6 linked regions of the Rattus norvegicus genome follow. The protein of the gene in region 3 interacts with the protein of the main gene of each other region in a pairwise test. Links are inferred from orthologs where the notes say so. Each region holds a gene or a part of one and is shown on either strand. Other genes may lie near its edges. The genes, in order: Usp2, Skil, Nefl, Kifc3, Tex11 and Ndn.

Region 1 (3,500 bases), on a different chromosome or scaffold from region 3:
GAGGTAGGGCATCTGGTCTACATAGTGACTTTGAGGCTAGCCAGGGATGTATGGTGAGACCCCATGTCTAAGAAAGGAAGGAAGAAATTGCCAAGTGTTTTGGAGCTGAGGAAATTTAAGATAAGAACATGACTCCTCACACACACACACACACACACACACACACACACACACACACACACAAAGCAGAGGGTCCTAATGGTGTTTGGGGGGGGGGGGCTCACCTTTCTGCCCTCAAGCCAATAGAAGCGTTGGGACTAGAGTACTAACCATGGAGGGTGAATACACTTCCCACCTGGAAGCAGGAGTGCCTCTGTGGACTGGTGACCCCTCCCTTTCCCCACCCTCACTAGTGCTGGGATAAGTACCTGAGTTGAGAGCCCGCCTTGGTGGATGTGGACATGCTCACCGGTGGTAGGATGCTTTCTGTCTCTACAGCCTGTTTAGACCGATGTCGTCTCGGGCACAGGGGGTAAGGATTAGTAAAGAGCTACCGAAACCAGGTGTGAGTGGGCATCGTGTGTGGGCACACCTCGATGGGTGCCTCCAAGCGGGCAACATGAAGAAGATTGCTGTGGTGCTTTCTTGCTGGGCTCTGGGGAAAAGGGAGACTTTTAACATTTCATCCAAATCTCTGATAAGGTCTTTGACCCCAGGGACTATCTCTGTGGTAGCCCACTTATAGGGCCCATCACAGGTGTCAGCATTTTGCTGTTTTGCCATTGCCAGGGGTCAGACCCAAGACCTTACAAATGCTAGCCAAGCCGTCTACTGCCGAACTAGGACACCCAGTGGTGGGACTCACAGTTTATTTGGGGGCCAAGTCAGGTTAGCACTGCAGGCCAGGGCAGTGGAGGATGTTACACCCTGTATGCTGCCCCGGGCTTTCCCTCCAGCGAAAGGTTTAAAGTATGTCTCTTCTGGGTACCTTTTCTCTACCTGCTAGAGTCTGAGCTGACAACTGACCAAGAGAGGGATCCTATTACTTGTGGGAGGGGCCTGGCTCTGCTTGAGAAAAGCCCTCCCTCGGCCTGCTTCTCCCCACCTCCCTTCAAGCTGACAGTCTCCTGAGCTTTGAGCCGCTGACAGCCTCATAGGCTGTCAGCACATGGCATGAGTAATTTTAGCTGAGTTATTTCAGGCTCCTGTTCTGATCAGGGTTGAGCCGGCCCCACGCATGCCCCAGCCAGTGTTGCTCCAGAGTTGCCTGTTCCGAGGCCCCCTTTCCAAGAGGGGGTGGCAGACTCACCACAAACTCAGCTACTGCTTCTTTAACCCTTTGAGCCTGAAGGTTTTCTGATTCTCAGGAGGTGTGCCCAGGATTACCTAAGAGACCTTGACAAATAACACTGAGTGCCTGCAGTCTCACACCTGTTCTCTCTCCAACCCCCTCACCAGCCTCCACAGTAGAGACAAGAGTGGCACCTTCAGCCAGGTGCTTCCTCAGCTTGGTGCCAGTGGCTAGTCCGGGATGTTGAAACCTGAGACAGGCAGGGAGGATCCTCCCTCCCGCCTGGGCTCAGCCCTTAGAGGCTGAGTTCAGCTGCAAAGAATTCCACCTGTCTCTGGCAAGTGAGAGTGGCAGGCAGCTTGAGTTTTCCCCAGCTGAAGATGGAAACTCAGTGATTTGTCATTTAAACTTCTTAAAGTGCAAATCATGGTGGTTCCTTTATATATTGAACATCTGGTATAAATGTAGGTCATTTGAAATAGTACCTGGATTTGAGCTATGAAACCTCTTTGTTTTTTTCTTTCTTTCTTTTTTTTTTTTTTTTTTTTGGTTCTTTTTTTTCCGGAGCTGGGGACCGAACCCAGGGCCTTGCGCTTCCTAGGCAAGCGCTCTACCACTGAGCTAAATCCCCAACCCCTGTTTTTTTCATATAGCTGAGGCTAGCCTTTGGGTTCACTATGTATGATGTAGCTGAGGCTGGCTTTGAATTCCTAATTGTCCTGACTCTGCTTCCCAGGTGCTGGGATTGCAGACCTTCATCACCATGTCTGACCTGGACTTTCTTTCAACAAGGACTTGACTGTATTCCTGAAATTATGAGCCCCTAGCCTCTAGTTCTAATCTTTAGTCTCCAGTGTAGTAGAAAATATAAAGAAACCAGGTGTAGTAGCTCATACCTGTAACCCCAGCACTCAGGAGGCAGAGGCAGGAGGATTGCCACACGTTCACTAGGCTACCTAGTGAGACCCTCTCTCAAAACAACAAAAAGATGGGGAAATACATAAAAACCGCAAAGCCCCGAAGAAAAGTTTGTGTGTTGAAAATAGGCACTCCTCCATGCTTTTTTTCTCCAAGGCCCAGACCGAGGCTGAAAGAAAAGTCTGGGTGAGAACTGTACAGACCCAGGGCTGTACCCTCACCTTCATGTGACTTGTTTTTTGCTTACAGAATTCAAAGAGTGCCCAGGGTCTGGCTGGTCTTCGAAACCTTGGGAACACGGTAAGTTCTTCCCAACTCAGCTCTTTCCTGAAGCCCTCCCCTCCTCTCCTGACTGGGATAATCTAGTAGAGGCCTCCCTGACTCCACAAGGTAGCTTCCTATCCTAGAGGGCAGTCAGCACCTGCCCTTCCTGGCTGGTGTTTCAGTGAATAGCAGGACTCTGTCTCACCCGCCCCCAGCAGGAAGCACAGCTAAAAGGAAGTTGCCCTTGTCACTGCGAGCTTGCTGCTCTCCTGGACCTTCCTCCTGGTTCCCATCACTCCCTCCCCACTGCTGACCAGTGTGTGTGCCCACACCCCTTTGTACACCTTAATAGGAAATAGCCAATTACATGGCCTTGCCACATACTGGGGCCTTGCCTCACTCTGCCCTGCCTTCACTCAGGAAGGAGGAACCCGGAGCTGTGAGTGAGTTCATTTTTGGGTAGAAGAAACAGAGAACCTTTAGATGCAGGTAATAGAGGTGCTGTGTGAGGGTCTGTACCCCATCACAGTGTTGTTAGTCAGCTTCCCCTACGATAGATACACGAGAGAAGCACACCTAAAGAAGACTGAGTTTGTATGGTTGGGCTTGTGACAAGGCAGACAGCACATGTATAGCAAAGCAAAACCATTTTGTGGCCAGGATACAAGGGAAAGGAAGAGAGTGGGGTCCTTCAGGCTTCTTCAGGGCAAGCCCCCGATACCTGAAAGCCTCCCACTGGGCCCCATCTCTTCCAAGTTGCCACCACATCCCAATAGTGCCATTAGTTGGGAATACACAGCTTAGGAAAAACCCAGACCCGTGCACGCGCACTTATTGCCGGATGATCTCTCTTAGTGCTTCATGAACTCAATTCTTCAGTGTCTGAGCAACACCCGCGAGTTGAGAGATTACTGCCTCCAGAGGCTGTACATGCGGGACCTCGGCCATACCAGCAGTGCACACACAGCTCTCATGGAAGGTGAGGAGCCCCGTATGGGCGTGGATCCTGCTGCCCTTCTCAGCTCTTCCTGGTCCACCAGGCTGGACTGATGTTGTGTGGTAGACACCCCACCCCCACCCCTCCATT
Region 2 (4,095 bases), on a different chromosome or scaffold from region 3:
AAATTCTCGGAGAACAGAATTTAAGACTTGGGGCAAACACAGTCTCTTTTCTCCTCCGACTTGAAAACAAGAAATAGACTCCCCTTCCAAAACAGTCTGAGTGAGCTCTGTGGAGCTATCAGAAGGAATAAGAAGAGGACCAGGAAGAACCTGAGGAGACGGAAGAGGCAGGAACACAGTCGGTGACATGCTTTCTTGGGAATATCGAGCAGAAAAAGCTGCTGGTCCACCCAAAGAGCTCTGACTACTTAAATGGAATTGTGCCAGTGTGTGTTTCAGACTGGGGTTTAAATTTAAAGTTTCAGGTAGAGAAGGACAGTTGCGCTTGGCGTGCTCGCCATCTGGTTCCACTGACGCATCTCCGTAGTCGTCCAAATGCTCCTTCTTCACCTGGGTCAGCGTTTTCCCATTGGCATGAATGTCTGTCATCATTTTTTTCACGGGAGGACTGCCATCATCCTCCATCCCGCTCAGCTTTTTATTTGAACCCTGAACTAAGGAGAAATTAGACTGCAGGTTTTCCATGGCCACACCGGTGTTTTTAAATAATTAAGTCTTCAATTGGCATGTTGTTCTCAGTTCCTAATTTGAAGAGAAAAAGGCAACGTATACAAATACTTGTGACTCACTTAGAAATGTTTAGTTTCCAAAGATGAATTTTCTTGCTCAATAGATTGTACAACTCTGTTTCGGTTCAGCCGTTTCTCAGGATGTAACTGAAAATACTACAAAACTTCTCAATTCGCTTCTAATAACAAAGGGTATAATTGTCAGCACACCCCTGAGAAAAGTCTTGTTTTCTTGAGCACTTCAGCTATTTATGTTAAAATAAAGCTAATTCCTCAGTTCAAGAAGTCCAAAGTTTGGTATAGTGGTTGAGTTTGGTTGGTTTTGTTCTTTAAGCAAAGCATGTGGAAAGTTTATGCCATGACTGTATCCTGAAACTACACCCAAACACGAGTTACAATGATGCAATGGTTTTAGTTTTTGCCAAGAACACCAAAAAAGAAGAGGCAGGTATCCTCACTGAAAATGGTGGTCTGTGGCTCTGTGCTGACAAACTGAAGACTTGTCTAAATCTCCACACAGCAGGAGCCTGGCTCCACCTGAACTTTTATAATTAGCAATATACATACACTAAGTAAAAAAGCTGCCCAGTTTATCTTCAGGGATTACAGTTCATTCTTCTTTTAATTGATCTGGAAGAGAAAGGGGTGGGGAGAGTTACATTTGAATTAGCTCCAGAGGCCAAAGGGTCTGTTTAAAACCAGTTTCTTAATCTTAAACTCAGTTCACTTTGCCAAAGGTAACACTTGGGTGGTTTCTTCCAACCTAACACCAGTTATCTAAAAGAAACTTCATCTAAATAGGAAGCAGTCCAGACCGTGGGTAACAGGAGCATTAAATAATATCTCTCCAAACAAGGAAGAGTACACAAATTTAGAATACGGATAACCAAAACGCAGTAGCAGAGGCTTTCTCAACTATGCATGCCATTTAAATTTTAAAAAGTAATCCTTTCTCTTCAGAAAAAAGAACCCTGTAGTTTCTGCTCTCCCCCCACCCCGCAAAAGATACATGTTAATATACCTACCATATGTAATTAAGTCTCAAGCAGATTAATTCATCTAGTCAATATATACTATCTTTTTAAATTGAAGAAGAAGAAAAACTTTCCCTTTAAAAGGTTAGCGAATTTGCTTAATGGAAGCCAAAAGCTGTAAGACTCCATGCCTGGAAATCTCCATCCTTTAGCAAGACTAATCCGGGACAAAAAGCACAAGGCAGACAGACCTCACAAAGAATGCAAATGGAGGCAGAGTGGCGAAAAAGAGTATTCATCCACTTCCCTCCCTGGAGAAAACCCAATAAAAGCCGATAAATAAAAACCTTTGCTTCTAAACTCCCAGCAATTTATGTTAACACAAACCCAGAGAATTACGGACGAAAGCCACCTAGCCACCGTACTGTGACTTTCGCCACTACAGGGACACCTCAGCCAAGGCGAGCCAAGGAAAAGGGCAGGAGGCATGACCTAGACCAGGGGCGCCCCCGCAGCCCTGCGCACACGCAGAGACACCCACTCATCATCAACCCGAAGGACCGGGAAGCAGAGGACTCCCGACGTCTGGTGAGGTGAGAGGGGGCAGAGGAAGTAGGAGTCCTCCCAACCCCCACCTCTGTGACCGGGATCACCCTAAGTGCCCTCCCCACATCGCCCCACTGCGGGGGCCGCCGGTGGAAATCCCCCACGCACTCGGTCCGCGGGAAGTTCTCTGGGGTTACCTCTGCGCCCCAGGGCTGCGCCTCCCCACCACTGACCCACCCTGAGCCGTAACACCCAGAGGGGCGCAGGCAGGTTGGGCGCCAAGCCCGGAAGCCTGCGTCGCTGGACGCTCAGAGATGGGGCCAGCCCGAGGCATCCCCGCCGAGCGCAGACGGCCGGGGGATGGCGGCGATGACCGGTGTCCAGGTCTCCCGGGTCCCGGCGGCTCGGGTCAAGTGCACCGCCATCCCCTCCCAGCCGACCCGTCCTAGAATCTGCGAGGCCTGTACACCCGTGGGACCCCCGCCGCGCGCCCTGTGCCCTCGACCCCGCCCGGGACCCCACGCATCCCGGACGCCCCACTCAGGCCCTCGGCGCCCGGACAGCCCCACGGGCTCTGTGGCCTCCCCATAACCCCCCCGCCGCCGCCTCAGCGCCCCCAGAGGCCGCACGCCCCTCACGTCCCCTCGCGACCTGCGGCCGCACCTGTGCCCGCCGTCGCCGTCGCCGTCGCTCGCCCGCCGCCTTCGCTGTGCCGGCGCCGCTCCGAACCCCACACACATCGCTACACACAGCCTCTGACGTCACCCGGCCCGCGGCCCGCCCACGTCACTGCGGAGACACGGCTTCCCGCAGACGCCGCCGCCGTCTCCGGCCGCCCGGGGGACAGCGAGGGCGGCGGGCGGGGGAGGGGAGGGAACTAAGCCAGCGGCGCCGCGCGGCCCCGCGCCAGCCAGTCCCTCGAGCGCGCGCGCCGTCTGCCCTATTGTGGCTCCTCGCGGTCTGCGCGCTTCAGGCTGCGCGCGCCTCTCCGGCCCTGGCCGGGGCGCGCGCCTGGTGCCTCCGCCGCGCACGCGCGTGCGCCGGTCTCCCGCTCCCCCGCCCCCTCCCGCGCGTGCCCCGCGCTGCTGGCTGGCCCGGCGCGCCGTCTGGGCGGCTGGCGCACGGCACTGTCTGCGGTGCCCGGCGCAGACAGGATGTTCCCTCGGCCCCACCCCCGCCGCCCTCCTTCCTTCCTCGAGTCGCCCAGCCGGCTGTCTGGGGCCGCCCCCGCCACGCCCGCCGCCGTGTGGTGACGGGCCAGACCTGGGGGCGCCCTGGCCGCTGGGCCGCCGCGCGGCAAGGCGGGGGTGAGAAGGCGGAGAGGGGGTAGGGCGCGGCGGGCTGCACTGTGCGCGACCCCGGCAGCTGGCCGCGCCCGAGGTCAGACTCGGCCAACAGCCCCCCACCCCCGCGGCCGCAGCTGGCCGCCTGGCCCCGCCCCGGAGGTAGCCTGCGGGTGGCTCCCCGCCGCGACCCCCGGGCTGAGCCCGCCGCGCAGACGCCCCCGCGCTGCCACCCTCCCCGTTCAGCGCTGCCACCTGCCCCCGTGCTCCCCCCGCGCTCCCTCCCCCAGCTCTCCCCCCCCCCGCCGGCGCGCAGACGTCGCGGGGCCTCTCGCCCCCGTGGGGCCTCCCGCCGCGGCCGCCCTGCCAGCTGCTGGCGATCAGCCCCGCCTGGCCGCGCTGGGGTGGCCTCACCCGGTCGCCTCCCGGGCCGCCATCGCCCGGGAGGCGGAGGTTTCAGCACCGCCGGGGCAGACCTTGCTGCCCCAGCTGCTCTCGTCCTCCATAAAGTGACCGGTTCTAATTCACTAAGCACTTTGGTTGGGGTTTTCGGGCTTTTCCTTTTTTTTTTTTTTTTTTCTTTTTTCTTTTTCTTTTTTTTTTTCCAGAGACGGTAAGAGGTGGGGGAAGATAACCACTTTCGGCTGCCACCTCGAACCGCCGGCGGGGGTGGATGAGGGGACTTCCTAGCCAACGTACCCAGGATAGCTCGAATATTCAACT
Region 3 (4,081 bases):
CAACGGCAGTATGAAAACGTTCCACCCATGTGCGTTTTCGTACCCACTCTGCTACCTGGGTATCCTGAAGGAAGTTGGTAGCTTCCTAAGGGCACCCGTTACCTGTGAATTTCAGCAGGCTGTTTCAGCAGGCTCCACGCTGAGTTCTCTTCCGGAAGACCACACCCAGAGCTGGTAGCACTTTGCAGCATTCTCTCTCTCTCTCTCTCTCTCTCTCTCTCTCTCTCTCCCTCCCTCACTCCCTCACTCCCTTCCTCCCTCTCTCCTTCCCTCCCTCTCTCTCCATCCAACCTACATGGCTTGTCAAAACCATCAGATTAGGCTACCACACAGGTGTTAAAAAGGGGAAGAGGCTTTCGATGCGGTGGAGGTAGCATACAGGCACCCTGAAGTTCTCCCGCAGCAGAGCGCATCTTTTGCCTTGCAAATCTTTGCCTGGTTAGTTTCAACCCGTCCTAAGCATTCCAGACTTCATTTCCCATAAAGAAAGGGGAAATTCTATGGAAGGCGCCAGACAAATTAGCTGCTGTAAAGGTTTTAAAATGTCAAAATGAACACCCGCTATCCTGCGGTTCCAAGGGTGTGTGTAGCGGTACCCGTCCCCTATGTATTGAGAAGCAGATTATACGGAAAGAAATAAAAAAGAAAAAATAAAAGAAGGCAGGAGAAAGGGGGGTGAATTCAAGAAAATGTCAGAAAATAGCTACAAAGGCATGCAAAACTTTTCCTGCAGGAATGTCGCAAGGGCGAAACCTTAAACTATTGTCAGTAACCTAACCACCCTGGCCTTACAACCATGCTCCTTAAATAAGAATCACGGTGCTTGAGAGGGTCCCTGAGGCAGAAAGGGCGAGCCAGGGGCGGACTGGGGTAGGGTGAGGGTGTCTTTGTGACATTAGATGTTAAAAGTTGATGTGTCAGTAGGGACCTATTATTTGGAAATTTTAAGGGTCCTAGTGAGGCGGGTTTTAGGTATTGACAGGCAGGATGGGTCGGGGGAGTAGGAAAGGAATGAGCAGGGAAGTTATGGGGGTTTCAGAGAAAGTAGGGGGCCTCAGAGAAAAGCGGCCAGGCGGGAGCCGCAGTCCGCTAGCCTCCTGTCGCTCGCCCCCGCCTTTGCTCTTGCGCAGAATCCTCCCCTTGGCTGCAGCAGCACGCTGCCCCCACTGGCCTGCGCAACGCGATCGATCACAGTCTGCGTCAGAGTCCCGGCGTATAAATAGAGGTGGCAGGACAGCCCAGAGCCGCACACAGCCATCCATCCTTCCCTTTCCCTCTTCTCCCCGGTTCTTCTCTCTAGGTCCCCTATCTCCGCCCCGGGCCTGAGGGGCGCACCGACCGCCACCATGAGTTCGTTCAGCTACGAGCCGTACTTTTCGACCTCCTACAAGCGGCGCTACGTGGAGACGCCCCGGGTGCACATCTCCAGCGTGCGCAGCGGCTACAGCACGGCGCGCTCTGCGTACTCCAGCTACTCCGCGCCCGTCTCCTCCTCTCTGTCGGTGCGCCGCAGCTACTCATCCAGCTCCGGCTCTTTGATGCCCAGCCTGGAGAACCTCGATCTGAGCCAGGTAGCCGCCATCAGCAACGACCTCAAGTCTATCCGCACACAGGAGAAGGCACAGCTGCAGGACCTCAACGATCGCTTCGCCAGCTTCATCGAGCGCGTGCACGAGCTGGAGCAGCAGAACAAGGTCCTGGAAGCCGAGCTGTTGGTGCTGCGCCAGAAGCACTCAGAGCCTTCCCGCTTCCGCGCCCTGTATGAGCAGGAGATCCGTGATCTGCGACTGGCGGCCGAAGACGCCACTAACGAGAAGCAGGCGCTGCAGGGCGAGCGCGAGGGGCTGGAGGAGACTCTGCGCAACCTGCAGGCTCGCTACGAGGAGGAGGTGCTGAGCCGCGAGGACGCCGAGGGCCGGCTGATGGAAGCCCGCAAAGGCGCGGATGAGGCTGCGCTCGCCCGCGCCGAGCTGGAGAAGCGCATCGACAGCCTGATGGACGAGATAGCCTTCCTGAAAAAGGTGCACGAGGAAGAGATCGCCGAGCTGCAGGCTCAGATCCAGTATGCTCAGATCTCCGTGGAGATGGACGTGTCCTCCAAGCCCGACCTCTCCGCCGCTCTCAAGGACATCCGCGCTCAGTACGAGAAGCTGGCCGCCAAGAATATGCAGAATGCCGAAGAGTGGTTCAAGAGCCGCTTCACGGTGCTAACCGAGAGCGCCGCCAAGAACACCGACGCAGTGCGCGCTGCCAAGGACGAGGTGTCGGAAAGCCGCCGCCTACTTAAGGCTAAGACCCTGGAGATCGAAGCCTGCCGGGGTATGAACGAAGCTCTAGAGAAGCAGCTGCAGGAGCTGGAGGACAAGCAGAATGCAGACATCAGCGCCATGCAGGTTTGGCAGGGTTTAAGCTCAGTGGGAGCGGGGAGGTCCACACTCGGGGTGGGGGTGCAAGGTATATCCAGAGAGTGAACGCTAGGGGGTCCTAGAGCACAGAGCAGCTATCCTAGGGATTGGCTTCAGAGATGTGGAAAAGATGGGGCATTTGGAGGGGGCGGGGCGCGACTGCTGCTTGGGAATTGCTTGTTCTGGTTGAATCAGTGTTCTTAGGGGTGAGTTGGGAGGAATGGGCGGAGGGCGTTGAAGTTGGGCGTTGCCACCAGTCTAATGCCTACTCTCTACTGACAACCCTTAATTGACTCCAAGTTACCCTCAGGACTTCCTGGATCTCCTGGCTAATAAATATGGCGGCTAGCTCTCTCTCACCCAGCCTTGGGATAGTTTTGTTTTTAACAGGGACACAAGAATACAGTCACAATATTTTATATCAATTAATCACTGATATCCATTTAAAAAAATAAGTTCTTCATATTTGGGGGAGAAGAAATAGAGTTGTGGAAAGCATTTTAGACAAATATACAATTTTATTTTTATTTATATATTTATTTAGACAAACATATATTCACATGCACACACACACACACACATTCCCCTCCCCAAATGTGACCTGGCTAAAAGAAGTATGACTAATAATAATAGTAATAATAATAATAATAATAATAATTATAAATTGGGTAGTTTTAAAAGACAGTTTACCATAATCAATAGATTGAGGACAATTTTCAAAATTGCTCATATCAGTCTACTCCCCTCCTCTTCTTCCTCTTCTCTTACATCACTAGACTGAACATTTTAGGCCACCCCCCCTATTTCTTGTAGGTGTACACTTTGTAGTTACTAAGTGCCAGGACTTAGCACGAATACTACAGTAAAACAAATGCAGTAGAGATTTGTGTTTTGAATTTTGAAAACGATCTTCCAACAGGACACAATCAACAAACTGGAGAATGAGCTGCGAAGCACGAAGAGCGAGATGGCCAGGTACCTGAAGGAGTACCAGGACCTCCTCAATGTCAAGATGGCATTGGACATTGAGATTGCAGCTTACAGGTAACATCAGAATGGTTTGGGCAGTGGGCATGGCAGCTCAGGGCGGAGCAGATGACCCAGAGTCAGTGCAGAGTTATATTGAATCACAGTGTTTTAGATTAGTCCTGCTTTGGTGTTCCTCCAAGACGGTACAAATGTGCAAGGAGTTAACCCCGATGTAACATAAGTCTTGTTCTTAGCATTCATATTTTAAATCTAGTAGGTCTTTCTGGGCGGGCTCTATCATGAGCTCCTTATTAAATCTTGATGGTACCTAACCCTGTTTGTCCTTGTATTTGCCTTTGACCTTGGTTGTGGGGAAAAATAATGAATGTGTGCTTAGAGCAAGTCATGAACACATCCATTGTTGGTCTAACTGTACCCTTCATTCCCTTCCCCACCAGGAAACTCTTGGAAGGCGAAGAAACCAGGCTCAGTTTCACCAGCGTGGGTAGCATAACCAGCGGCTACTCTCAGAGCTCGCAGGTCTTTGGCCGTTCTGCTTACAGTGGCTTGCAGAGCAGCTCCTACTTGATGTCTGCTCGAGCATTCCCAGCCTACTATACCAGCCACGTCCAGGAAGAGCAGTCAGAGGTGGAGGAGACCATTGAGGCTACGAAAGCTGAGGAGGCCAAGGATGAGCCCCCCTCTGA
Region 4 (3,500 bases), on a different chromosome or scaffold from region 3:
CTGTAGCTGTCTTCAGATACACCAGAAGAGGGCATTGGATCTCTTTACAGATGGTTGTGAGCCACCATGTGGTTGCTGGGAATTGAACTCAGGACCTCTGGAAGAGCAGTCGGGTGCTCTTAACCACTGAGCCATCTCTCCAGCCCTCTGCTGTGCTTTTGAGAGATCGAGAATGAGCATGGAGAGCCACTTCTGAGTAAGCCTCTATTCTTTCCCAGGAAATCGCCTGAGTGCAGGCCAAATTTCCTACTTTGAGGGGACTCAGGAAAAATTATTTTCTTAAGTCTTGGTTTAGTCAGTTCTGTCCTCTAGAAACTTTTGCTAAAGTGACTTCCCCAGAGGACAACCCGGAGGTCCTCTGCAAACCCATTTTGCTGTATTCTTCAGTCCTCACCCTAGCCCCAATGGTGCGCTTGTTGTGATGGCTGCCTTCCTCCTCCAGGCAGACCTCCACTGTCCTGCTGATCAGCCACTACTTTGCTTGTAGGTGGGCGGCTCCTTGGCATCGGGAGGTGCTCAAGCCTGTCCGGGTCACCAGGCCCAGACCCCGTGGTACATAGGACCGTGGAGGCCATGTCCCAGCTTCAGGAGGAGCTGGTAGTCCTTCGGGAGAGGCTGGCCCTCCATGACAGTGACCGGCAAGCCACAACCACCCAGCTGCAGAACCAGGTACCTGGGGAGGCAGGGATGAGCAGAGGCCACTCACTGCCCTCTGGAGCAGGTCAGAGGACATTGTCAGGGTACCTAGACTCCACCAGAAGCCAGATGGTGACCCTTTCCTGGTCTAGGAAGATGCTGCAGGGCGAGGAGGTTCAAACTTGGCTTCTTACTGCAACAAGGGCCTTTAGCACCTCAGTATCTTCCCAGCCAAAAGGTTTTCCTCTCTAATTGATTAAATCTACTTGCTTATTAAGGGGGGGAGTTGAAAGTGAACTGCCCAGACTCTCTGGTCTCCCTAGCCCCACTCGCTCATCACCTGTAAGGAGGACGCCCAACCTACCTGACGCCTCAGGCCTCAGATGACTTACGGATTCAAACCGGTACCTAGCCTCTGCTTGGGGTTTTTTGGTGAGCTTTTTGACTATGTGTTTATTACAGTGTTCTTAAGGGATGATCCCTGTAGCTCTGTACCCATTAGCTGTGCTCTGTAGGGTCCAACCCTGTGGAGACATGGCCAGCCTCCTGGGCCTGGAGCTGTGAGTAAACCCTGACTGTCTGGGAGCACTTACTAGTCCTGGGCTAGATAACTACCAGTCTGCGCCTCTTTTCCTCATCTGCAGACAGATAACAGGATCCAGATGTGCTAGCACCTGTCGGGGCAGATGTGGCTCTGGAACTCTGGAAATAGCTGTCTGAGGCTGTCTTGGCTGTGAGGCTGTAGGGAATGTTGTCAGTCCTGTGAGCCCCATTTTCTGATTTCTAACCAGGCTGATGACTATCAGATGGGCTGGCTGTAAGAGTGGACAGGAAGATGGTTATGAACTATAAAGTGTGGTGTCCTGTAGGGGGCTGTCGCTGGACCTCACTGTGGGTTTTGTTGTTTTGTTTGTCGGCTGTTGGTTTTTCTGAGATAAGCTCCCCGATCTAGCCTAGTGTGTCTTGGAACTCACTAACTAGACCTGTCTATCTTGCTGTCACCATGAACGTCACAGTCGATAGTAGCCACCTTCTGGGCACGGTGAGTAATACTGCTACCAACACCGAAGTTCCTGCTTTCAGTTCTTTGGTGTGTATGCCCAGAATTGGGATTACAGAATAGTGTAGGGCTTCGTTCTTTGTTCTTGTTTATTTAATGTTGAGACGTGGCTCTCTTTTCCTTGCTTTTTTTTTCCCCCTTCATTTTTTAAAAGACAGGACCTCACCGTGTGGCTCTGGTTGTCCTGGAACTCCCTGTGTAGACCAGGCTAGCCTCAAGCTTTCAGACTCCTAGAGACCTACCTCTGCCTTCCAGTGCTGGGATTAAAGGTGTGCGCCACATGGCCAGGGTCTTCATTGTTTTAGCCCAGGCAGTTTGATGTGGTTGAGTTGTAGGTGTTTTCTGGATGGTAACCCTTCATTCTCAGTAACTGGTGAGCACTTCCTTCACACTCGGTGTTGTCTTCACTCGCTCGATGGCTTTGGGTTCAGGGGTGATAGATGAAGCTCTCTACCTGTGATGCTATTTCTTTTTTTTTTTTTTTAAAGAGTTATTTATTTAATGTATATGGATACACTGTAGCTGTCTTCAGACATACCAGAAGAGGGCATCAGATCCCATTACAGATGGTTGTGAGCCACCATGTGGTTGTTGGGATTTGAACTCAGGACCTCTGGAAGAGCAGTCAGTGCTCTTAACCACTGAGCCATCTCTCCAGCCCGTGATGCTATTTTCTTATGTGTCATTTTTTACTTTTATTATTTATGTGTGTGTGTGTGTTGCCTGCGCATGTCTGTGCCACTGCACGTTATATCTGCAGAGGCCAGAAGAGGGCATCAGATCCCTCAGGACTGGAGTACAGACACACACAGACACAGACACACACACACACATACCATACACACAATACACACACCATACACACAATACACATACAAACACCACACACCACACACAATAGACACACCACACACACCACACACACTAGACATACCACACGCGCACACACACACACACCATACAATAGACACACCATACACACTAGACATACCACATATACACCACATACATACACACCACACAATACACACACCACACATACACACACACACACCACACCACACACACACACACACATACACACACCACAATAGACACACCATACACACAACACACAATAGACACACCATACACACAATACACATACCCCCCCACACACACACACACGCACGCACGCCACAATGTGGTTGCTAGGAATCAAACCCAAATCTTTTGAAAGAGCAGCCAGTGCTTTTAATTTCTACATCATGTCTCCCACCCCTATACCTTTGTTTTTTTTTTTTTTTTTTTTTTGAGTTGAAGAATACAGAAGTTAATTTTTGTAAAGAGCACTTAACTTTTTGTCTTTTTAACTGTTTGTGCTTTAGGGGCCATATCAAAAAAATCCACTGCCAAATTCAGTGTCACGACGTTTTTCTCTCTAAGAGTTTTACCATTGATCCCTTGTGCTTGGGTCTTCAGTCCATTTGCTCTTCTCTCTGCGTGTTACTCGGCGGTGTGGGTGAGGGCCCAGCTTCATTACTTGACATGTGGAGACACAGTTCAAACACCAGTTGTCAGTATTATTCTTTGCCATTGCATGGTCTTTGCACACTGAAAAATCATTAGGACACATATGTGAGGGTCACTCTGCCCCCCCCCCCCCCACGGCTTCCCTGTTATCCTCATGGCTGCCTTTCTGCCTGAGCCGCACTGCTCTGATTGCTGTGGCCCTGAAGTCAAGGTACAGACTTCCACCTTCGTTTTTCCTGTCCAAGACTGGTCTGTTTGGCATCCTTTCAAAATCTCTTCAGAAAACGCCGTT
Region 5 (3,500 bases), on a different chromosome or scaffold from region 3:
TATAGATATTAAAATGTTGAAAGTTTATCAATGGAGACTAGGATGGCCTTCAAACTAAGTGAAATCAATTTTTCCTTATGGGAAAACTTGTCCAGTTAGGATAGGATAGGAGAGAGGATTAGTGTTGCAGTAACAGAAAATGTTAAACTTTCCCTTTCCTTTAGGAGATTTCTCAGGTGATGACTGTGGGGTAATGCTTCTGCTGTATGAATTTGAAGTTAAAACCAAAACCAATGATCCATCCCTGCACAGCTTTCTGCAATCAGTTTGGAAGATGCCTGGTTTAGAAAGCAGAACACTTGAAATAATGGCATGTAAGTGCTCTATTTATACCTGTGCAAGGCCAGTGCCCATTTAGATCCTACTGTTTTCTCTCTTCTGACCTTGAGATGATTTTCATAGTATATTGTTTCTCACTCTCTGATGCATTCTTAAACTACTTTGAATTAAAATCATTTATATAGTTATCTTTTTCACTCTACAAGATTGTAATCTCAGGATCATGAGCAATAATTACTTTTATGTGTTATACTAATAAATCTTAGTGAAGAGCATTGCTCATAATAGGTGCTCAAATGAAGTCTATATGTAGAATTTAATTACGTAATGGCATGATAGGGGAAGCTCAAACTTTGGAAAGTTAGTTTTATGTAGGTAGCTAAAAATGATAAATAGCTACATTGATGATCAAAGATGACTCAGCCTTAGTAATTTACTAAAATGTATGGAGAAATTTGGAAAGTTTATGAATTTCTCTCTCTCTCTCTCTTTCTCTCTCTCTGTGTGTGTGTGTGTGTGTGTGTGTGTGTGTGTGTGTGTATGGTTGTGTGTGTGTGTTTACATGTGTGAAGGTTAGCTGAAAACTTACAGAAGGCAGTTCTCTTTGCAGCATATAGGCCCCAGGGATTGAAATCTGGTCATCAGGCTAGGTAGCAAGTACCTTTTTATACACTGAGCCACCTCACTAGCCCCTAGAAATTTGGAAATATTTTAACACGGTGCAATTTTCAAAATCTTTAAGCTATGCTATAGGACTTATGAGCCTCAAAGCCATTTAGGGAATTTACTGCTGGAAATACCCTGATTATCTTCCCCTTTGCCTGTAACTTTCCTTAAGAGCTTGAGCATGGGTAGTGAAGGTATTAGGGAGCCTCCAGTATACTACAATTGCCTTGGGTTTCTTAGAACTGGACCAATGAGGCATACTCTATGACTACCACTCCTTATATAGTGGGACTGCTCTATAGGCTTCTTGACCGCATCTGGAAGGCCTAGACACGTCTAGACTCTCTAAGGCAGCAATACCAAAGCCTATTTTTCACATCAGGAAGAAGCAGCAACAAGAAAACAAGTATATGGCAGATTGTTGTCTGGCTTTGATTAGCAGCTTTTTATTGATCTGCTTCTATTTCTTAGCTTGCCTTTCCTTCACTGTGGTTCATAATATAGTTGCATCACCTGTAAGACTGTGCATGGTTACAGAAACAGTAGATTTTCCGTCACTCATTGTTGAAGAATGAATGGAACCTGAAAGAAATGAGAGGCTCTCTCAAAGCTTCTATAGAGTCATGATTTTATCAAATTTGGTGTGTGTGTGTGTGTGTGTGTGTGTGTGTGTGTGTGTGTGAGAGAGAGAGAGAGAGAGAGAGAGAGAGAGAGAGAGAGAATCTTTTTATTCCATTAGAGAATGCATGTTCTAGTCCTGCTTGAAAACTGTAATGAATAAGATAACGTGGCATTCAGAAGCTTTTTCCTTCTCTTCTTACAGCACTAGCTATGGATAAACCTGCACACTATCCTACTATTGCACAGAAGGCCTTGAAAAAACTTTTATTGATCTATAGAAGGAAAGTGCCAATTAATGTTTTGAGATACAGGTTAGTAAATATAAGTTGACACCTAAATTAAGTTTTGTGGAAGCCAAAAAACACAAAAACAAAACAAAATCAACAACAAAAACCCCTCTAGTCAATATCCCATTAGTCACCCACTATAATCAACTGAGCTAACATAGAAGATTATAGGAAAATTATCCTGTAAAGTTCTCTGTAGTGAAAATTATATTGCACACTGGAGAATAGTAAGCAAGACTTCTGTTCCCAGGAGAGAAAAAGAAGGGTACATCCTGCTTTCCTTTATTGTTCTAGTCATATAATAAAATAGTACTATGTACTCCTTCCTTCATGTCATTTACTAAGTATCCCACATGATCATAAATTGGTAGCTACCACTCAACTTAAACATTTTTCCTATATTTTTCTTCTGTTTTTTCCCTAGTACTTTTTTTTCTTTTTTCGGAGCTGAGGACTGAACCCAGGGCCTTGTGCTTGCTAGGCAAGCGCTCTACCACTAAGCTAAATCCCCAACCCCTCCCCTAGTACTTTTAAGTATCAATAATGTTATATGGTTTTGCTCTTTCAGGAAAAACTCATTGTAGTCTTTCTGTTCTGAGAAGTAAGATTTTTTTTGTCAATTTAAATCCAATTTTAATTCCTTTGTCCCTTTGAAGAGGTAGCATTATTGTTTAAATGCCCATAAATTGAATCAGCTCATAAAATATGAAAATGACATGATTGAACTGGCAAAATGGTTCAGCAGATGAAGGTCCCTGCTGCCAAATCTAATGATCTGAGTTCAATCTCAAGGACCCACGTAGCGGAAGGAGAGAACCAACTCTGGAGGGTTGTCCCCTGACCTCTGTTCAAGCGTGTGTATGTGTGTGTGTGTGTGTGTGTGTGTGTGTGTGTGTGTGTGTGTGTGTGTGTGGTGCACACACACAAATAAAAACAATGAACAATTCCTTCATGAGGGATATAAACTTGTCTAAAATGACAACCAACCACAAACATCAAAGGAAGGACTAATCAGCCCCTTTTGCATCTTTAAAATTCTGTCTTCTAAGGTTCCAAGATCAAAATGAAAGACAGAGCAGAGGAAGAGCTCTCAGTGTGAGATGAGATTCAGAGTTGACTTCTCTTAACCAGGCCAGTAATTTCTTTCCTTACAGATGACTGGTCTCTTTTTACTTTTCAGTGTATGCATGCACAACTTGATTGACCTTCTGGTGTCAGATAGAAGATGGAATATGGCACTGTATCCCCTAAAAGAAGTTTGGGGCCATTTAAAAAGTGCTCTGAGTCTCATTCGCCAAACCGTAAGTCAAAGAGCAGGCAATAGTAAAGTTGCAGACTATTGGAAGGAACCAGAGTGTCTTGCATATTTGTTTTCATATAGAATGATATTTTCTGATAGGAGTTTTATGATAAATTTGTATTACAATGTAGATATCCACTTCAAAGTATCTCCGAGTTATAAAATATAAATAGTTAATGGTAAGAATTTTCTAGTATAAGCTTACTAACTAAGGTTTGTGTCAGAAAAACAAGACCAGTAAGCATCTTGAATTGTTTTATATTTTTGGAACCTAATATAATTCTTTCCATTATGATTATATTAATTTTGTGAAAAGGCTTATTATTATTCCCACCATATCTCAGAGG
Region 6 (3,239 bases), on a different chromosome or scaffold from region 3:
TCAAGACTCCAGTATAAGGTCTATGATTTTTAGGGTATTTCATTACCAGCATCCTTTCATTTTTCTTGCTTTGTGCTGATACAGTCATTCCTTACTTCTTATGGCTGGTGGGAGGATAAAATAAAGAAGAAAATGCACAACGAGGGTTTAGTAGCAATATTTCATTCTGTTAAAGTGCCCACCAAAGACTATTTAAAACAAAAAAACAAAACAAAACAAAACAGAAAAGGGACAGTCCCTACATAATTCCTGTTATTATTCCCACGTTATGTGAACATGCCTTTTTTTGTTATCACGCCTTTAATGTGACCAATTTCTTGAAGCACCACAATTTTCAAAAAACTTCTGAGTGGTTATGAGTGGTGTTTTCCCACTCTGTTAGAAGTATACTTGCTCATGTTGTACACGGGGAGAATCTTTCTCATCCCTACCCACTCCCATTCCCCCTTTCACCAAAATAAATGCCTCCCCCCCAAACAAAGAAATTATTTCACGGTATATTTAATGCTCATTTTAAAGTTTATTTATGGTGGGGTTGGATACATGTTTTGCAAAGTGTGCTAAGTGCTTAAACTGAAAACAGTCCAGTTCAAATCAGTCCATTCCACATGGATGTTTCCTGTGCCAGTTGGAGTCATATGGAGAGGGACCCTGACCTTTCTCTTGGTCAGGTCTGTGTTGTTGTTAAGTCCTGCTAACTCTCCAGGGCCTTCTTTGTCGATACGGACCATCAGTCCCATTCAAAGAACAAGATACAGAACACCTCAATGTATTTCACAAGTTTAGCACAGCACATCTCTTGTACAAAAATCCAAGAAAGCACAGAAGTGAAAGTACCAACTTGCTCACTTATAAAACACACATGCATCAATTTTAAACACTACACGAGTACACAACTGAATACATTGCATTACAAGATAAAAAAAGCACTGGATGGAAAACTTAAAAACTATACATGAAATACTGCACTATGAATCTGGGATACTCTAATGTCCAACCCCACCCTTACACAGCCCTAGTATGGGTCAGAAACTATCAATGTGCTCCTGGACATTTTAGTCCTCAGAGACACTGCTGCGGGGGGCCTGGGCGACAAGATTAGCCTCCCGCAGAGCTCTGGCCTGCTCCAGAGCCTCTCTGTAGCGGGAAGGCCAAGCCTGGGGATCCTTCTTAAAGACTCTGGCCAGGAACTCCATGATCTGCATCTTGGTGATTTCACGGTTAGCTCTGGGGCCCCAGAAGAACTCGTACTCGGGAGGCTCGATGTGGGGCACACGCTGGTACTTCAGGTAATTCTGCTGGACGAACTCCTCGGTGATAATCTTTCTCACATCTCCGAAGGTGGAGTGCTTCTTCCAGGGCCTCAGCCCCAGGATGCGCAGCACATTCCAGACCGCACCCTCTCTGGCCCCGCGGCCCTTCACATAGATGAGACTCAGGATCATGAGCAGGAGACCTGTCATGGGCATACGGTTGTTCAGCGCGACTCTGTCCAGCTCTTCTGGGCTGAGTGCTTTGACCAGGGCGAACTCCATGGTGTGGAGATTGGTCAGCCTCAGGTGCAGCCCGAAAACTCTGGCGAGGATGACGCTGGTGCGCCTGAGGATGCTTCTGCACCACTTCTTGTAGCTGCCCATGACCTCTTTCACCATGTCTGGAAACCAGAGGACCATCCTCTTCTGGTCCTTGACCAACACGTACCACATGAGCTCGTGCGCCTTCTGCACCAGCTGGGCAGGGGCCGGCGGTGCTGGGATCGGCCGGGCTGGGCTCTGGGGCTGGTGGGCGCGGCCCTCTTCTGCGGCCTGCTGCAGGATCTTAGGGTCAACCTCTTCAAACCGTTCTGCAGGTGGTGGCGAGGCCTGTGGGGCTGCCATAGGGCCTTCCGGAGCGCACGATGGCCCTGAGAGGTTCGCGGCCAGAGGAGCGGGAGGAGGGACCCCCACCGGAACAGCATCGCTGACCTGCATCTCAGTGTCGGGGTCCTCAGCGGCAAAGTTAGGGTCGCTCAGGTCCTTACTTTGTTCCGACATTCTGCGTCTTTTGATCAGAGCAGGACCGCTGCGACTCGGAGCTCTCGGAGCCTGCACTGCCTCAGTGGATACTAGCAGAGGAAGTGCGCTTTACTGAGCACTGCGCCTTCCGCAGCAGCGGGCCGGGCGGGGCAGACGCTATATTGCGCATGCGTAGTGGGAAGCCAGAAGGGTGGTAGGGCTGGATAGGAGCGAAGTAGCAAAGCCCAACCACTGGGGTCTAAGGGAGGGTACCACTAGTATTATGAAAAGGATCTCCTGGTCTCCTGTATGGGACAGAGATGGGTGATAGTGGGGAAAGAAACAAGTTGAAGGAGAAAGATATAGCTGAGATGGTGAAGTTAAGTTCCGACACACTGAGTTAAGTGTGAAGGTCCTGGAGGAAGAAGACTAATTCTTGAATTTGAGTTTTCCACAAAAGAATAGGAGAGACAAAAATAACCTTTTCTTGGAAAGTCATACCTGATGATGATGATGATGATGATGATGATGTGTTGTCTAATATCAGAATGTTGAGAAATTATTAATAGAGATAAATCGTTACAAATCTGAGCAGTATCAAACAAGGAAGAATGCAAAGTATAGTTACAGACACTGGAAATCAATCCATGTGAGAATTTAATGTTTTAGAAGTAGATTCATATAACATAATTGATGTGCGTCTAAAATTTTAATTAAAATGGGACTTGGTTCAGTGGGCAAGAGCTGTTGCAGTTCAAGCATGAACCTGAGTTTAAACCCCAGGTCCCACATGAACAAAACAGATATATAAAATTATTTATATGTATTCATTCATCGTTGGATTCTTAGTTTGTTGGCTTACAATTATTTTAATAACTATGGATTTGGGCTCTGCATTTCTATTAGGTCACTTTGATTTCATTTAGAAATTCCCTTAAGAATCTAGTGGGAAATGATCAACATGTTTATTAATACACATTTTATGATAGTGTATTTTTCATGCACTCCCAGTGCCCTTTCCCCCTGCTTACTGCTGTTACATCTTCATGTTTATAAGAAATCTTCCACGTCTTGCATTACGTCATTAGCAAATGACTAATTCCATGTTGGGCGCACGTCCAAATCTTTCCCAATATCTTTCAAATGCAATTCTTTTGGATAATATCTAACATTCTTTCATAAATGAGAGGCAGCATATTGGTGTTCATAAATAAAAAATGTAGATTGAGAGGAGGTAACCTGAAC

Evidence for each region.
Region 1: the proteins of Nefl (region 3) and Usp2 interact in binary tests that used the Homo sapiens proteins (3 or more experiments, as listed by UniProt). The two-hybrid records come from large-scale screens. The link is inferred for Rattus norvegicus from reciprocal best matches to the Homo sapiens genes NEFL and USP2.
Region 2: the proteins of Nefl (region 3) and Skil interact in binary tests that used the Homo sapiens proteins (3 or more experiments, as listed by UniProt). The link is inferred for Rattus norvegicus from reciprocal best matches to the Homo sapiens genes NEFL and SKIL.
Region 4: the proteins of Nefl (region 3) and Kifc3 interact in binary tests that used the Homo sapiens proteins (3 or more experiments, as listed by UniProt). The two-hybrid records come from large-scale screens. The link is inferred for Rattus norvegicus from reciprocal best matches to the Homo sapiens genes NEFL and KIFC3.
Region 5: the proteins of Nefl (region 3) and Tex11 interact in a two-hybrid assay, tested with the Homo sapiens proteins (2 studies listed by BioGRID and IntAct). The two-hybrid records come from large-scale screens. The link is inferred for Rattus norvegicus from reciprocal best matches to the Homo sapiens genes NEFL and TEX11.
Region 6: the proteins of Nefl (region 3) and Ndn interact in binary tests that used the Homo sapiens proteins (3 or more experiments, as listed by UniProt). The link is inferred for Rattus norvegicus from reciprocal best matches to the Homo sapiens genes NEFL and NDN.

Annotation. Positions count from the first base shown.
Region 1 is NC_086026.1:53,327,870-53,331,369, forward strand, and holds part of Usp2 (ubiquitin carboxyl-terminal hydrolase 2), read left to right. Parts: intron 1-353; exon of another isoform or gene 354-451; coding exon of another isoform or gene 452-472; intron 473-2,398; coding exon 2,399-2,449; intron 2,450-3,268; coding exon 3,269-3,392; intron 3,393-3,500. UniProt on the Homo sapiens protein: Hydrolase that deubiquitinates polyubiquitinated target proteins such as MDM2, MDM4 and CCND1. Isoform 1 and isoform 4 possess both ubiquitin-specific peptidase and isopeptidase activities.
Region 2 is NC_086020.1:114,200,773-114,204,867, forward strand, and holds the start of Skil (ski-like protein), read right to left. Parts: upstream 2,801-4,095; 5' UTR 2,753-2,800; intron 1,200-2,752; 5' UTR 526-1,199; coding exon 1-525. UniProt on the Homo sapiens protein: May have regulatory role in cell division or differentiation in response to extracellular signals.
Region 3 is NC_086033.1:46,476,049-46,480,129, forward strand, and holds the start of Nefl (neurofilament light polypeptide), read left to right. Parts: upstream 1-1,281; 5' UTR 1,282-1,346; coding exon 1,347-2,393; intron 2,394-3,324; coding exon 3,325-3,449; intron 3,450-3,832; coding exon 3,833-4,081. UniProt on the Homo sapiens protein: Neurofilaments usually contain three intermediate filament proteins: NEFL, NEFM, and NEFH which are involved in the maintenance of neuronal caliber.
Region 4 is NC_086037.1:9,907,659-9,911,158, forward strand, and holds part of Kifc3 (kinesin-like protein KIFC3), read left to right. Parts: exon of another isoform or gene 1-487; coding exon 488-669; intron 670-3,500. UniProt on the Homo sapiens protein: Minus-end microtubule-dependent motor protein. Involved in apically targeted transport. Required for zonula adherens maintenance.
Region 5 is NC_086039.1:69,999,045-70,002,544, reverse strand, and holds part of Tex11 (testis-expressed protein 11), read left to right. Parts: intron 1-164; coding exon 165-314; intron 315-1,768; coding exon 1,769-1,877; intron 1,878-3,033; coding exon 3,034-3,154; intron 3,155-3,500. UniProt on the Homo sapiens protein: Regulator of crossing-over during meiosis. Involved in initiation and/or maintenance of chromosome synapsis and formation of crossovers.
Region 6 is NC_086019.1:125,259,920-125,263,158, reverse strand, and holds Ndn (necdin), read right to left. Parts: upstream 2,101-3,239; 5' UTR 2,034-2,100; coding exon 1,056-2,033; 3' UTR 501-1,055; downstream 1-500. UniProt on the Homo sapiens protein: Growth suppressor that facilitates the entry of the cell into cell cycle arrest.